Cricetulus griseus: one gene and its partners. The protein of the gene in region 3 binds, or shares a complex with, the protein of the main gene of each other region. Links are inferred from orthologs where the notes say so. Each region holds a gene or a part of one and is shown on either strand. Other genes may lie near its edges.

Region 1 (4,088 bases), about 24 Mb from region 3:
GTTTGCGTGCGTGTGTCTCTCTGTGTGTGTCTCTGTGTGTGTGTCTGTGTGTGTCTGTGTGTGTGTGTCTGTGTGTGGTGTGCGTGCATGTCTGTGCGTGTGTGTCTCTGTGTGTGTGTGTGTCTGTGTGTGTGGTGTGCGTGCATGTCTGTGCGTGTGTCTCTGTGTGTGTGTCTGTGTGTGTGTGTGTGGTGTGCGTGCATGTCTGTGTGTGTGTGTGTGTGTGTGTCTGTGTGTGGTGTGCGTGCATGTCTGTGCGTGTGTGCGTGTGTGTCTCTGTGAGGGTGTGTGTGTGGTGTGTGTGTGCGTGCGTGTGTGTCTGTGTGTGTGTCTCTGTGTGTGTGTGTCTCTGTCTGTGTGTGTGTGTCTGTGTGTGTGTCTCTGTGTGTGTGTGTGTCTGTGTGTGTGTGTGGTGTGCGTGCATGTCTGTGCGTGTGTGCGTGTGTCTCTGTGTGTGTGGTGTGTGCGTGTGTGTCTGTGTGTGTGTCTCTGTGTGTGTGTGTCTGTCTGTGTGTGGTGTGCGTGCGTGTGTGTGGTGTGCGTGTCTGTGTGTGTCTGTGTGTGGTGTGCGTGCGTGTGTGGCAAGCGGACTCCATCACAGAGGAAGAGTGGGGACAGTCAAGTGGTGACAGCGTTTGGTTTTGCAGTAGTTTGCCACTGAGCAGCAGGGAGAGGACACTGCGGAGCCATCTTCCTCGGACGAAGAAAACAGTGCATGAAACGGTTACGCTTGAAAGGACACCTGGCTTGCTTCAGAGTTGGGGATGCGTGGCCAGGGGAACAAGTGCTCGCGTGACGTAACGAGGCCGTAAACGTGGCGGATGAACGGCGGGCGACTGTTTCCCTCCAGTCATCTTTTCAGCGCGGTGGCGGACGCCCAGGGCGGCAGCGGTGCTGGCTCTCGTCCCTGCGGAGGCTCCTGCCCGTCTCGGGGTGAGCCGGCCCCGCGGGGCGCGGCGAGGGGAACTCGTGGGGACCCCAGAGGGCCACGGCCCGCGAAGCCACGCGCCCGGCGGCGCGAGCGTGCGTGCGTGCGTGCGTGCGTGCGGCGCTGCCATCTCTGCGTTGCAGGGACAATGGGGGACGAGGCCCGGGCGCGGCGGCCGCGGAACCCGGGCGGCAGAGCGGCCGCCCCGGAGCCCAAGGGCCCGGGCCTCGGCCCACACGCGCCGCGGACGCCCCTCGATGCCCCGCGCGACGCCGCCGGCCCACGCGCGACGCGCCCACGAGGCCGGCCGCAAAATGGCGGCGGCGCCGACCGGCGCCCCCTGCCGGCGCATGCGCACGGCGCCCCCCGCCCGCACGCCCGCGAGAGCGGAAGTCTTGTGACCCCGGAAGTGACCGTCCGGGCGGCGGGCGGCGGACGACGTTCGTCACTTGGTGCGGGAGGGAGCGCGAGAGCGACGGTCGAGCCTCCGGTGAGTGGCGCGCTGCCTGGCGCGGGGCGGCGCGCGAGGGGAGGGGGCTGGCTTTGTGCGGCGACCCCGGCGCTCGCGGGCCGGCGGGCGGGCGGGCGTGCGGCGGGCCCCGGGCGAGCGCGGGCGGCGGGCGCGGTCACGGCAGCGGGCGGGCCGGGCGCCTTCTAGGTCCTGCCCGAAGCGCCGCCGCTGCCCGGGCCTGGGCGCCGCGTCCCGGTCCCGGGTCCGGGTCCCGGTGCGGGTCGGGGGCGGGGGCGCCCTTTCCCGGCCGCGCGGGCGGGGTCCGGCCTGGGGCCCGCCCGGCCTGCCGCTCCCGCCGCGCGGCCCCCCCCGCCCTCCCGGATTGCGGGCCCTGCGGAAGCGCGGGCCGCGCCCTGGATGCTGTCGCCCGCGGCCACGCTTGGCCGCGTCGGGCGGGGCCTCCGGGACCCTCCGGGTGTCGGGCCGGCGCTCCCCCCGAGTCTCTGGCGCACGCCTCCCAGAGGGGCGGCGGCTGCCCCGACCGCCGCGCATCGCCTGCAGGGCTCGAGTGGGTGTCTGGGGGACGGGTGGGGATCTGCGGAACTGAAAGGCACCGAGGCGCTTCCGTCCCGGCGTGGTTCCGCACCGCCACAGACGCTTTAGGACCAGGGTCCAGCAATGGGCTCCTGAGATTTATTTTGCAACCGGTGCACCAGCTCCCACTCTGCGTTCGCGGACCCCTCACAAGGGAGGTCGGGCTTGCATATTTACCGTCTCATTTGGTCGCCACGCAGTTGAGCTTAGGACGGTATTCCACCGGCAGGAAGGAACAGACCCTTGTCCTGCACGTGGCTAGGACACAGAGCATCCCCGTTTCAGAGAACTTCTCCCCGTGACCCAGTGAGAGTGTCTTTGGGTTAGATCCCGGGCATCTAGGGGCAGCAGCAGGACCCACGTGGTTTAACGTTGCTTCTCCCAGTTCCGTTTGGTCAGGAGGCTACTCATTCTTCATGGGGAGGAAAGCTGTTCTGCTTCTCTGAGGAACGGGCTGTGGTCCCCATTTTGTGGCTTCATGGTGTGCCTGGGGTGTAGCCCTCTCAAACGAGCCTCTTGAGTTAGTTGGGCAGTGGCAGCGCCTCCTATCTCCTCTAAAAGTTGCCCTGGCGTGGCTACCTCCATCATTTCCCGGCAGGTGTCAGGGTCCCTCTAGGTTGCAATGCCTCCGGGCTGTCACCGCTCTGCTCGCTGCCCACCCACAGGTATCCCAGGTTAGAGGTGAGCATGGCAGAACAGGAGCCCACCGCTGAGCAGCTTGCGCAGATCGCGGCCGAGAATGAGGAGGATGAGCACTCTGTCAACTACAAGCCCCCAGCCCAGAAGAGCATCCAGGAGATCCAGGAACTGGACAAGGATGATGAGAGCCTTCGAAAGTATAAGGAGGCCCTGCTGGGCCGAGTGGCTGTCTCTGCAGGTAGGTGGATGTCACCTGACCCTGTCACCACCCCCTTTCCAGTCTGCCCCCCTCCTTCCAGGGAGTTAAAAAAAATCTAAGGAATGGAGCTCTTGATTCATGACTCTTGCTCTCCAGACCCCAATGTCCCCAATGTCATTGTGACCCGCCTGACCTTGGTGTGCAGCACGTCCCCGGGCCCTCTGGAACTGGACCTGACAGGTGAGTGGGTTTTGGAGTCCCTGGGTGGGGCCAGCTGGCATCCAGCCGCTGCCCCTAAAAATAATTTTCTGCACTGGTGCCCTCTGGTGGGGCAGGGGGGAAAGTGCAGCTAGGTGCTCTCCAAGGCCCTGCTTTGTGTCACGGAAGGGGCTGTGGAAAGGGAACGTGGGGGCAGGATGGAAAGCCTCCAGGCAATTGGCTGTGCCTCCTCCCCATACAGGTGATCTGGAGAGCTTCAAGAAACAGTCGTTTGTGTTGAAGGAAGGTGTGGAGTACCGGATAAAAATCTCTTTCCGGGTAAGGTGGAGGATTGGAGAGGCCTGGCAGAGGGGCAGAGCATCAGCACTGGGGGGCCGGCTGACCCTTGCTCTGTGTCCCCACAGGTGAACAGAGAGATCGTGTCAGGCATGAAGTACATCCAGCACACATACAGGAAAGGGGTCAAAAGTAAGTGGTCGTACCGATAGAGTGGGAAGCCTGTGGGTCCCGGGAGGGGCTTGCGTGGCCACTAACCATGCCTTTCCTGTCCACACCACAGTCGACAAGACCGACTACATGGTCGGGAGCTATGGGCCCCGGGCTGAGGAGTATGAGTTCCTGACACCCATGGAAGAGGCCCCCAAAGGCATGCTCGCTCGGGGCAGCTACAACATCAAGTCCCGATTCACAGACGATGACAAGACGGACCACCTGTCCTGGGAATGGAACCTCACCATCAAAAAGGAGTGGAAGGACTGAGCTCCAGCTGGGAGGCGGGCAGGGCGGCGGACAGACAGAAGGACCGACATGCCCCACCCCCAACCCCTACCCACCCCAAACCAAAGTGCTGACAGGACCCTCCCTCACCATTCCTCCCCTCTTCTGTCTGCCCCTCCTCCACCTCCTGCCTGCAGGCCCCTGTGGTCTCCAGTGTTGTCACATTGCTGCTTCTGCCTGTGCAGTGGGGGAGGGGTTTCAGCCCAGGCCTCCAATCTGCTGTGTCCCCCAGGTTTCCTCTGTCGTCCCTTCCTCAGGCCCTGGCTTCTAGAATGGAATGG
Region 2 (4,008 bases), on a different chromosome or scaffold from region 3:
CCAAGAACACATACTTCTAAACTGTAGACTTGTAAAACTATGAAGAACTAAAGTTTAGGAAAGAATGTGTGGATGATATATATATTTTACACTATTCATAAAAGGGACACAATTACAGAGTTTAGTATCCAGGTAGGGATAGGATTACAGAACTAAATGGCACACAAATATGAGGTACTAAATTTGTGCCAAACATCCCACTGAACAGTCATCTAAGTAGAAAGGTGTTTTAAGTAAAAAGATGGAATAGTGATTGGGTTTTGGTAGTCTTTTTTGTTTGTGTGGGGTTTTGTTGTTATTTTGGAGTGTTTTGTTTTGTTTTTGTTTTAGATAGCAGCCTTCCCAAACACAAGAAATGGTGGTTTTTCAATTTGTCCGTAGGCTTTGGAGAATAAAAACAGCAAGTTTCCTGGTAGAGGAGCATGTCACAGGGGCTAAACACCTCAATTTGTCACACTGTGACAGTGCTTACCTCTCCACCTCACTCCTGAAGTGGTAGTCACCGAGTGCCAGCAGATGGTTATCGCTCAGGAAGTGGGACGATATAGATGTCACCGAGCTCCCCAGCAGGAGTCACCCCCACCCCATCACTTCTGGGGTTTGGAGACTAAGGCAGACACCAGGCCAAAGGAAAATCCGGCGTGGACGCCACTGCAGGGACTTTCCCCAGAGGAAAAGTGCTCCAGGCCTGAGCAGAGCCACAGGGCTGAGAGGGAGGGGGAGCTGAGTCCCCCACTCTGCTGACGTTACCCAGGAGCCTGCTGAGGGAGGAGCCTGCAGAGGGAGGAGCCTGCGGAGGGAGGAGCCTACGGAGAGAGGAGTGGACAGAGGGAGGAGCCTGCAGAGGGAGGGATGGAGGGAGGGGCCTGCAGGGGGAGGAGCCTGCAGAGAGAGGAGCCTGAGGAGAAAGCCAAAAGAAGCAGGCGCCTACGGAGAGAGGAGCCTGCAGAGGGAGCCGCCTGCAGAGGGAGGAGCCTGCGGAGAGAGGAACCTGCGGAGGGAGGAACCTGAGGAGGGAGAAGCGAAAGGAGGAGTCTGCGGAGAGAGGAGTCTGCGGAAGGAGGAGTCTGAGGAGGGAGGGGCCGCGGGTAGAAGAAGTAGGCTGAGGAGATGGGTGGAGGGAGGAAACCGCAGAAAGAGAAGCAGGGGAGGGAGGGGTCCGCGGAGGGAGGAGCGCGGAAGGAGGAGGAGTGCGGAGAAAGGTCCTCCCTGGCGCGGCCGCAGACGGACGGACTCCCAGGGACAGTCGCCCGGCCGGAACTGCAGCGGCCACGCGGGAATGGGCCGCCCGGCGACCTGACGCCGCACTGCACCGGCCACCGCCAGGATCTAGCGGAGCCGCCGCTCAGCTAGAGCCATGAACGGGGACGCCATCTGCAGCGCACTGCCTCCCATCCCCTACCACAAGCTCGCCGATCTGCACTACCTCAGCCGCGGCGCCTCGGGCACCGTGTCGTCGGCACGCCACGCGGATTGGCGCGTGCGAGTGGCCGTGAAGCACCTGCACATCCACACGCCGTTGCTCGACAGGTAGGGTGCAGCCGCGGGGCCCCACGCAGACGCGGGCCCGCACGGCCACAGTCCGGCCACACTGACCGTGATGCGCCAGCTCCCCGCAGCTGCCAGTTCTTATCCCTGGGGCTATCTTGGTCCAAGGGAGAAACTGCCCTGGACGTGCGTCAGAGTTTCCAACTCGCCTCTCCTCCCATCCGAGGTGTCCGCTCTCTCCTCCAAAAACATGCAATCACGGCCACCTCTAAAAGCCTGTTTATTGAACCCGACGTGTGTTGGTACAGTGCATGTGGGCTTAGCTCTATTTTTAGCTAGCTGTTAGCCACAAGAGCCGTGGAACTCATGAAACTGGGCTTTGGAAATGAAATATGTAGTGAGTGCAAAATACACACCAGATTTTGAATATTTAGTACTAAAAAATGTACCAGTGTTTTTATATTAACTACATGTGAAAATATTTTCTAGGGTTGTATGTGTGTTTCACTCCATATTTATCAGTGCTACTCCAGAGCCTGCATGTTTTGCTTTGATCAGATTGGTTTTATCTTGTTTGTGGCTTATTACATGCAGTCATGAAGTTCAGATATCAAACTCTACATTAGCCATTGTTATTCGAGCTCTTACTTTGGAAGTCCTCAAAGGAAGTGTGTGCTTTTTTTTGTAACAGTAAATTGAAATCAAAGATTGTTAAATGGTCAAAATTTGTGAATATAAAAAAATGTGATTGCCTCACATTCTGATATTATTTGAGTCCAGTTTCCACATCAGGAAAAAAAAATAGCCTTGGTTTCTGTTTCCGGGAAACATTGCAACTAAATACCATGGATCTGTGACTGTACGTGTTAGTCAAAGAGTCTGGTCAGTACTCTTGTGTGTTTTCCTTCCGGAATTCATTCAGTTCTTAATGCACTAACATCCGTAGTTGCAACGTTCTCTTCTCCTGCATCTTGAGTGAAAATACAAAATTCATAGCGGCCCCATTGGCCAGAGGCTGTTAATGTCTGGTGTAAGGTCATATCCAGCATCAGAGACCTCTCTTGTCTTCAGCCCAGCTAGAATATTGGACTTTCATCTGCCTGTAGTAGCTTTTATCCCCCCACCATGGGCTAGATCACATTGAAGTTTGGAACACTAAAACTTTCTGTGTACCATGATCCAGATTCAGATACTGGGCCTTATAGTCGGTGGAGCTAGTGCTGGGTAAAGTGTGTTTGTCTGGGATCGACTTTAAAGGGAGGCTGGCTAGAAGCCAATTAAACAAATATTCTGTGGATATGTAGCACTAGTAGACCATTGAGTATACCAAAGTGATTTCTCACTTTGGATTCTGCTTTCCAAGGTTTTTATTTACAAAAGTGTTATGCTTTTTGTGGGCCAAGCGACAAAGATGGTGATGCTTTCCCATTTTCACCAACCACATCATCGTATAATTTCATTGAATTGGATAAAAAATTATCTTTCTAAGACCAACAAAATCCTGTGACCTTACTGCATTTCATTCTTTTCTCTTGTTGCCTAAGATCTTAACAAGTGCATAAGCGTAGGCTTATGCAATTGACTTGGGTGTCTTATTTCCTCACTTATAAAATATGAATTATAAACACGTACGTACGTATATTTGTTGTGCTCTATCTAGTATAGATAAAGTGCCCATTGTTCTTTAAGATGACCTGAGAGGAAAATAAATTTTTGTGACGTGGCATATTATTTTAATGATTAATGAGTCATTCTCTGTAGCCAATGAGTGGGCCTAACATAGCAGACTTCCTACCTTAATGGATAGATGACTCCACTTGGTACCTTAGAGATGGGGTAACTGTTTCCTATTGAAATTTTGAGTTGGGTAATTTTGGTGATATAATCATTGAAACTGTCTTTTACATTTTTAGCTTTTTTTAATCTTTTAGTTTTATTTCCCCCCTTAGTCTTGTTGAAATCTAACCTTATAAACTGTCCAACTTGCTTTCCTGGTCAAACAACAGACTAGGAAAAACACAGACCTTAGAGTACCAGGACTACAATTTGAATCTGACTTTAATCCTGTTGCTTTGTTTGGTTGTGGTCACCAGAGGATCATTTATTTCTCCGACTCTGGGTGTCCCTGTATGTAAAGTGGAGGTAATGGAGCCAGCTTTAGAGAGGCAATTGAACAGTTAGTGTTTATAAAGTGGCTGACAGGAAGGAAGAATACATCAGACTTTTTCATGTGTGTGCGCATGTGTGTTTGTGTTCGTGTATACACACATGTTGTACGTACTGGTCCATGTGCATGATAAGGAAGCCAGGGGTCAACTTCAGGTATTGTTCCTCAGGACCACCATTTATCTCAGGGGCAGGTTAGTGTTTCAGAGTGTTTTATTGTTGTCGACTTTTTTATGTGGATTCTGAGGAATCAAACTCAGATCCTCCTGTTTGTGTAACAACCACTTCACCAGCTGTACTGTCTTCCAACCCCTTGTTTCATACTGTGGACAGGAGGAGGAAAGGGGATCTTAT
Region 3 (4,161 bases):
GCCTTGTGGAGACTTGAAGAGAAGCTAGGGCTCTGCTCACTTGGAGCAGGGGAGTGGCTCAGCTCAGAGGCACAGGGCAGAGTCTAACCCACCCAGTCAGTGGCAGTTCAGGACCACACCCCCTTTCATGATCTGTAAGTGGAAGGGAAGCTGAAAAGGAACTGCGCATGAGGAGGAAAGACCAAAGCCTTGACTCCCCAGCTTCCTACAGGCCACCTCTGCTTTTCGACTGGGGGAGCCAGGTGTCCCGCCTAAGTTTCCTGGGGGTCAGCTTCCTCACCTGTAAAATGGGAATAACTAAATTTACCTTTCTGGGACCTAAGGAGTACGTATATACAGTAAAAGTACTTAGGGACAGTGCAGGTCACAGAGTAGGCACTTCACAAAAGTTATTATAGCCTATATCCTCTCTTCCAATTCATCCCCTAGGGAGGAAGCCAGGTGTTGGAACCAGAAGGGGCTGACCAGGTAGGGTGGAGGCTTTTCCCTCGGGAGCCGCCTCACCATCCACCCTCCACGCCAGCCCCGACGCTCACGCTGCCCATTTACTGCCTACGCTGCTGCATCCCTATTAGGAGCATTAGCCAGCCCGGAGGCTCCGGTTACAGACGTCTGAATGACAAAGTGCCTCCATTACCGGCTCGGCCCGCCAGCAGACTCGCCGGGACGCGCTCTGGTTTCAGTACTCTCTCAGCGGCGCAGGAAGAGGCTCGGACCGCTGAACTGGCTCGCACCGAACAATCTGGGGTGGAGGTGAAAAGTAGAGTCCCGGGGGCTCAGGCCCGAAGATTCTGTGCCCGGTTCACCTTGCTAAGGCCTCAAGGCCCAGCTCTCCTCCCTTGCTCGCCTTTTCTGAACTCAGGGATATCCTCCTGCCCAGGTCCAGAGGCCACGCCCTCACCTCTCCAGGATGAGCACCACACAGCTCCCGAGGCATCTCTAACCAGGGACGTTAGTCAGCAAACACCCTTGCAGCCACTCCCAAAACCCCGGAGGAAGCCACAGGTACTGACAGCTCCAGGGAACCAGGTTTGAACTTTGAGGTTGGGATCCGAGTTTGAATAGGTTCTCCATCCTCTGCTTCCATAGCCCACCTCTGCCTATCCTTGGGATGGTGCCACCCCCATCCCTGCTGTGAAACGAAGTTGACCGCCCACAGCTGCACCCTTGAGTAGAGAGAGCCACAGAGCTGGAGTGAAGTGGGGGGGGCATCCAGCCACAGAACTCTGGCCCAACTTGCTTGTGAGGTCTTGGCCAACTTGTTTACACGCCTCCCTTGTCAGTAAAATAGAGTTTTGGGGGCACAGTGCTCAGAGGAAGAAAAAGGTGGAGGGTGGCGCCACTTCCATTGCCAACCTTTCTTAAGATCTGATCAGAAGTACCCAGAGTCCTCGGGTTCTTAGCAAGATCTGACGACCTAGCTGGAATTGGTGCCTCTGAACAACAATCCGACAGAATCCCAGGCATCCAAGCGACCCCTGTCGCATTGGAGAAGGGTTCATTGACTTTTATCGAAGCCTAGCCAGATGTGTGCGTGATGATGACCCTATTAAGATCTGGACAGGAAGGAGCGCAAATGGCACCGGGCCCGGGGGTTGCTTAACTTAGAAGGGGCGCAGTGCGCAGCCCCAGGCGCGCACGCAGCTGTGAACAGCCGTCCCGCACCCCGCAGTGCCCCCTGCGGGTCGCCTGGGGTTTGTGCATTCCCCGAGCAACAGTCGCCGCCTGGAGCGTCCCAGCGCTCCGCATCCCGGCGTCAGATAGGGTAGGGGGCTGCCGGCTCTGTCTCTCCGGGTCCACCGTGTTGTTCCAAACCGCGAGAAAAGGCTTGCCAGGGATCCACTCCGGCAGCGGATTTGCCCCAGTGAAGTGAGCGCTCCCTTCCCAGCCTGGGATGCCCAGATGCAATTCCCGGACTGGGCGAGGCCGCGAGAAAGAGCGCTAGAACCCACGCGGGAAACGTCTGTGTCTCGGCCGTCCTTGTCCCACTGCCCTTGAGTAGGCAGGCGGGGCCCCGAGCACTTTAGGATACGCACCGCTTTCTATCTCTCTACCTCTTTAGTGGCAGTCTTTTTTCTGCCCTCCTTTAAACCCACTTCTAGCTCTTCAACCTCTCTGCCACTCCCGAATCGCTCCTTTAGACGCCCCTCCCCCCCATTGTCTGGCCGGTCCCCATTGTCCGTGCCGGGTCCCCTCTGCCTCCAGTCCCTCCAGCCCAGCGCCTCCCCCATTGTTCCTTCGCTAGCCCCTCACATCTCTAGCGCTGCTCTCATCCCCCTCCTTTCTCTCCTCGGTTCTGTCCTACAACTCCCCAAGGACTAAGATGGAAAAGGGAAAAGTCCTCTCGGGATCCCAGAATTCACACGCCGTCGTCAAAAGAACCCAGGCGCCCGTGATTCCTAAACCTCCTCCCGAGAGACCCCCCCCCCAGTCCCCTACACCGTCCCCAGCGCAGTACCCAAAGACCAGTAGCAGCAGCAGCACCAAGGACCAGCATCGGTGCCACGGTCCTGTCCGCATCTCTATTCTGGGACTGGGTCTCCTCTGCTCTCTGAAAGTCCCAAGAGCTAGAAGCGCCCCTGTGGATCACGGTATCGCAGCTCCTCCGCCACCGGTTCCCAGCATCTGGGACCTTGATGTCCTATTCTGTTTCCTGGGTGGTGGCACTGGGATCCCCTTGGGGTTCGGTTCCTGGAAAAGGTTAACAGGCGTCCCTCCTGCTACCACTTACCCCTAGCAGCAGCAGCAGCAGCAGCAGGCGCGACTGGTCCATGGCGCTGCAGGCAGCACCTGCCCTCATCGCTTGCCTCTGGCGACAGCGCTTCGCTTCTAGCTCAGTCCGCTCTGCGGGCCGATGGGCTGCGCTGAGCTGCGCTAAGCTCCAGCGCCCGCTGCCCGCCGGAGCTGGCGGAGGCTACGCTCGCTCTGGCTACGGGCAGGCGGGCGCAGCTGGGTAAAGGCAGTGCAGCAGCCCCGCCTCCTCCCGCCCAGCCCGCCCAACCCCCCACCCCACCCCTCCGGAACCGCGCCCGCCCGGCCGCCAGGCCGCTTCGAGGTGGGGAGTCCGGAGCAGCCAAGGAAGGCGTGCGGGGAGCCGCGCCCGCCCGTGTGCCCCGCTGCGGCTTCTCCGCGGTCTGTCTGTCCCACATGCCCAGTGCACTGCCGGTTACGCTGAGCATCAGCGTAGGATGCTCTGGATCCAGCGGGGCGGCGGGGTGGGGGGGGAGTGGGGAGCATTGCTCTCCTACTGATGAGGTCTGCCTTAGGGTTCACTCTCTAAAATATCTTCTTCAGCCCCTGGGTTCCTAGTTCCCTACCTACCCCTCATTCCGGGAATGCAGCTGCCCTTCTTTCATGATTAGGTCTACACCTATTCCATACTGTCTACAGCTTCTCACTTGTGGAGTGAGGTGTTCCTTGGGACATTCAAGGTGGAATCTATCCCAGTGTCATAATTTGCTCTCTCTCTCTGTCTCTCTGTCTCTCTGTCTCTGTCTCTCTGTCTCTGTGTCTGTCTGTCTGTCTGTCTCTCTCTCTCTCTCTCTCTCTCTCTCTCTCTCTCTCTCTCACACACACACACACACACACACACACACACACACACACACACGATTGAACCTAGGACCTCACACATGCCATGCAGACATCCTATCATGAGCTGGGAGGAGTCACAGATGTGCACATAAACCCCAGGACTACACAAAAGCACTCTCAAGCTCCCCTGTACGTGTGCTCATGCGATCACATGGGCCATACCATCCTCAGGCATTCGTAGAAACCGAGCCATCCTACAACGGTCCCTAATACAGATCAGACATACATCTACACACATTCACATACACCCGCCCCAAAGTCACATGTGTGCAGTGCACGGTCATACTCAAACAAGCCCTCATAGGTATTGAGCACTCAAGTGCACACCCATTCATGAGTGTACAAACCATACACAAACACAATTACCTGGGCTTCTGAGCTTCCTAAGGCAGGGCCAGTAGTGTCTTCTCTGAATATACGCTATAGTAGGTGTTCAGTATTGCTCTGAGGAGGGGCTTCAATGGGAAAGTGGACTCATCCTTCAGAGATTCATGCCATCCATGTACTGTGTAGGCGTTCTGAGGACAGAACCTGTCATGTTTTGGAAACTGGGCACATCAGATCACC

What was found. The genes of interacting proteins can lie anywhere in the genome.
Region 1: the proteins of Ngfr (region 3) and Arhgdia are in contact, whole or in part, in an NMR structure (PDB 8X8T), measured with the Homo sapiens proteins. The link is inferred for Cricetulus griseus from reciprocal best matches to the Homo sapiens genes NGFR and ARHGDIA. Residues at the interface, in NP_002498.1 of Homo sapiens: Arg274, Trp275, Ser277, Cys278, Lys279, Gln280, Lys282, Gln283, Gly284, Ala285, Ser287, Arg288, Pro289, Val290, Asn291, Gln292, Thr293, Pro294, Pro295, Pro296, Glu299, Lys300, Leu301, Ile307, Ser308, Val309, Gln312, Ser313, Asp316, Gln317; in NP_001172006.1 of Homo sapiens: Ala8, Glu9, Leu11, Ala12, Gln13, Ile14, Ala15, Ala16, Glu17, Asn18, Glu19, Glu20, Asp21, Glu22, Val25, Pro30, Ala31, Gln32, Lys33, Ile35, Gln36, Glu37, Ile38, Gln39, Glu40, Leu41, Asp42, Lys43, Asp44, Asp45.
Region 2: the proteins of Ngfr (region 3) and Ripk2 are in contact, whole or in part, in an NMR structure (PDB 2N83), measured with the Homo sapiens proteins. The link is inferred for Cricetulus griseus from reciprocal best matches to the Homo sapiens genes NGFR and RIPK2. Residues at the interface, in NP_002498.1 of Homo sapiens: Gly334, Leu335, Ser338, Leu339, Pro340, Lys343, Val347, Ser354, Ala355, Asp357, Arg360, His361, Gly364, Glu365, Tyr368, Pro370, Ile373, Asp374, Leu398, Asp399, Leu401, Leu402, Arg406, Arg407, Ile408, Gln409, Arg410, Ala411, Asp412, Val414; in NP_003812.1 of Homo sapiens: Gln437, Ser465, Arg466, Asp467, Leu468, Met470, Glu472, Asp495, Ile496, Gln497, Gly498, Glu499, Glu500, Lys503, Ile523, Leu524, Val526, Ser527, Arg528, Ser529, Pro530, Ser531, Leu532, Asn533, Leu534, Gln536.

The regions. Positions count from the first base shown.
Region 1 is NC_048600.1:133,068,175-133,072,262, reverse strand, and holds Arhgdia (rho GDP-dissociation inhibitor 1), read left to right. Parts: upstream 1-1,283; 5' UTR 1,284-1,418; intron 1,419-1,982; exon of another isoform or gene 1,983-2,131; intron 2,132-2,638; 5' UTR 2,639-2,660; coding exon 2,661-2,850; intron 2,851-2,967; coding exon 2,968-3,051; intron 3,052-3,271; coding exon 3,272-3,348; intron 3,349-3,434; coding exon 3,435-3,498; intron 3,499-3,589; coding exon 3,590-3,789; 3' UTR 3,790-3,874; downstream 3,875-4,088. UniProt on the Homo sapiens protein: Controls Rho proteins homeostasis. Regulates the GDP/GTP exchange reaction of the Rho proteins by inhibiting the dissociation of GDP from them, and the subsequent binding of GTP to them.
Region 2 is NC_048595.1:130,017,808-130,021,815, reverse strand, and holds the start of Ripk2 (receptor-interacting serine/threonine-protein kinase 2), read left to right. Parts: upstream 1-1,203; 5' UTR 1,204-1,357; coding exon 1,358-1,530; intron 1,531-4,008.
Region 3 is NC_048600.1:108,751,892-108,756,052, forward strand, and holds the start of Ngfr (tumor necrosis factor receptor superfamily member 16), read right to left. Parts: upstream 2,801-4,161; coding exon 2,722-2,800; intron 1-2,721. UniProt on the Homo sapiens protein: Low affinity receptor which can bind to NGF, BDNF, NTF3, and NTF4. Forms a heterodimeric receptor with SORCS2 that binds the precursor forms of NGF, BDNF and NTF3 with high affinity, and has much lower affinity for mature NGF and BDNF.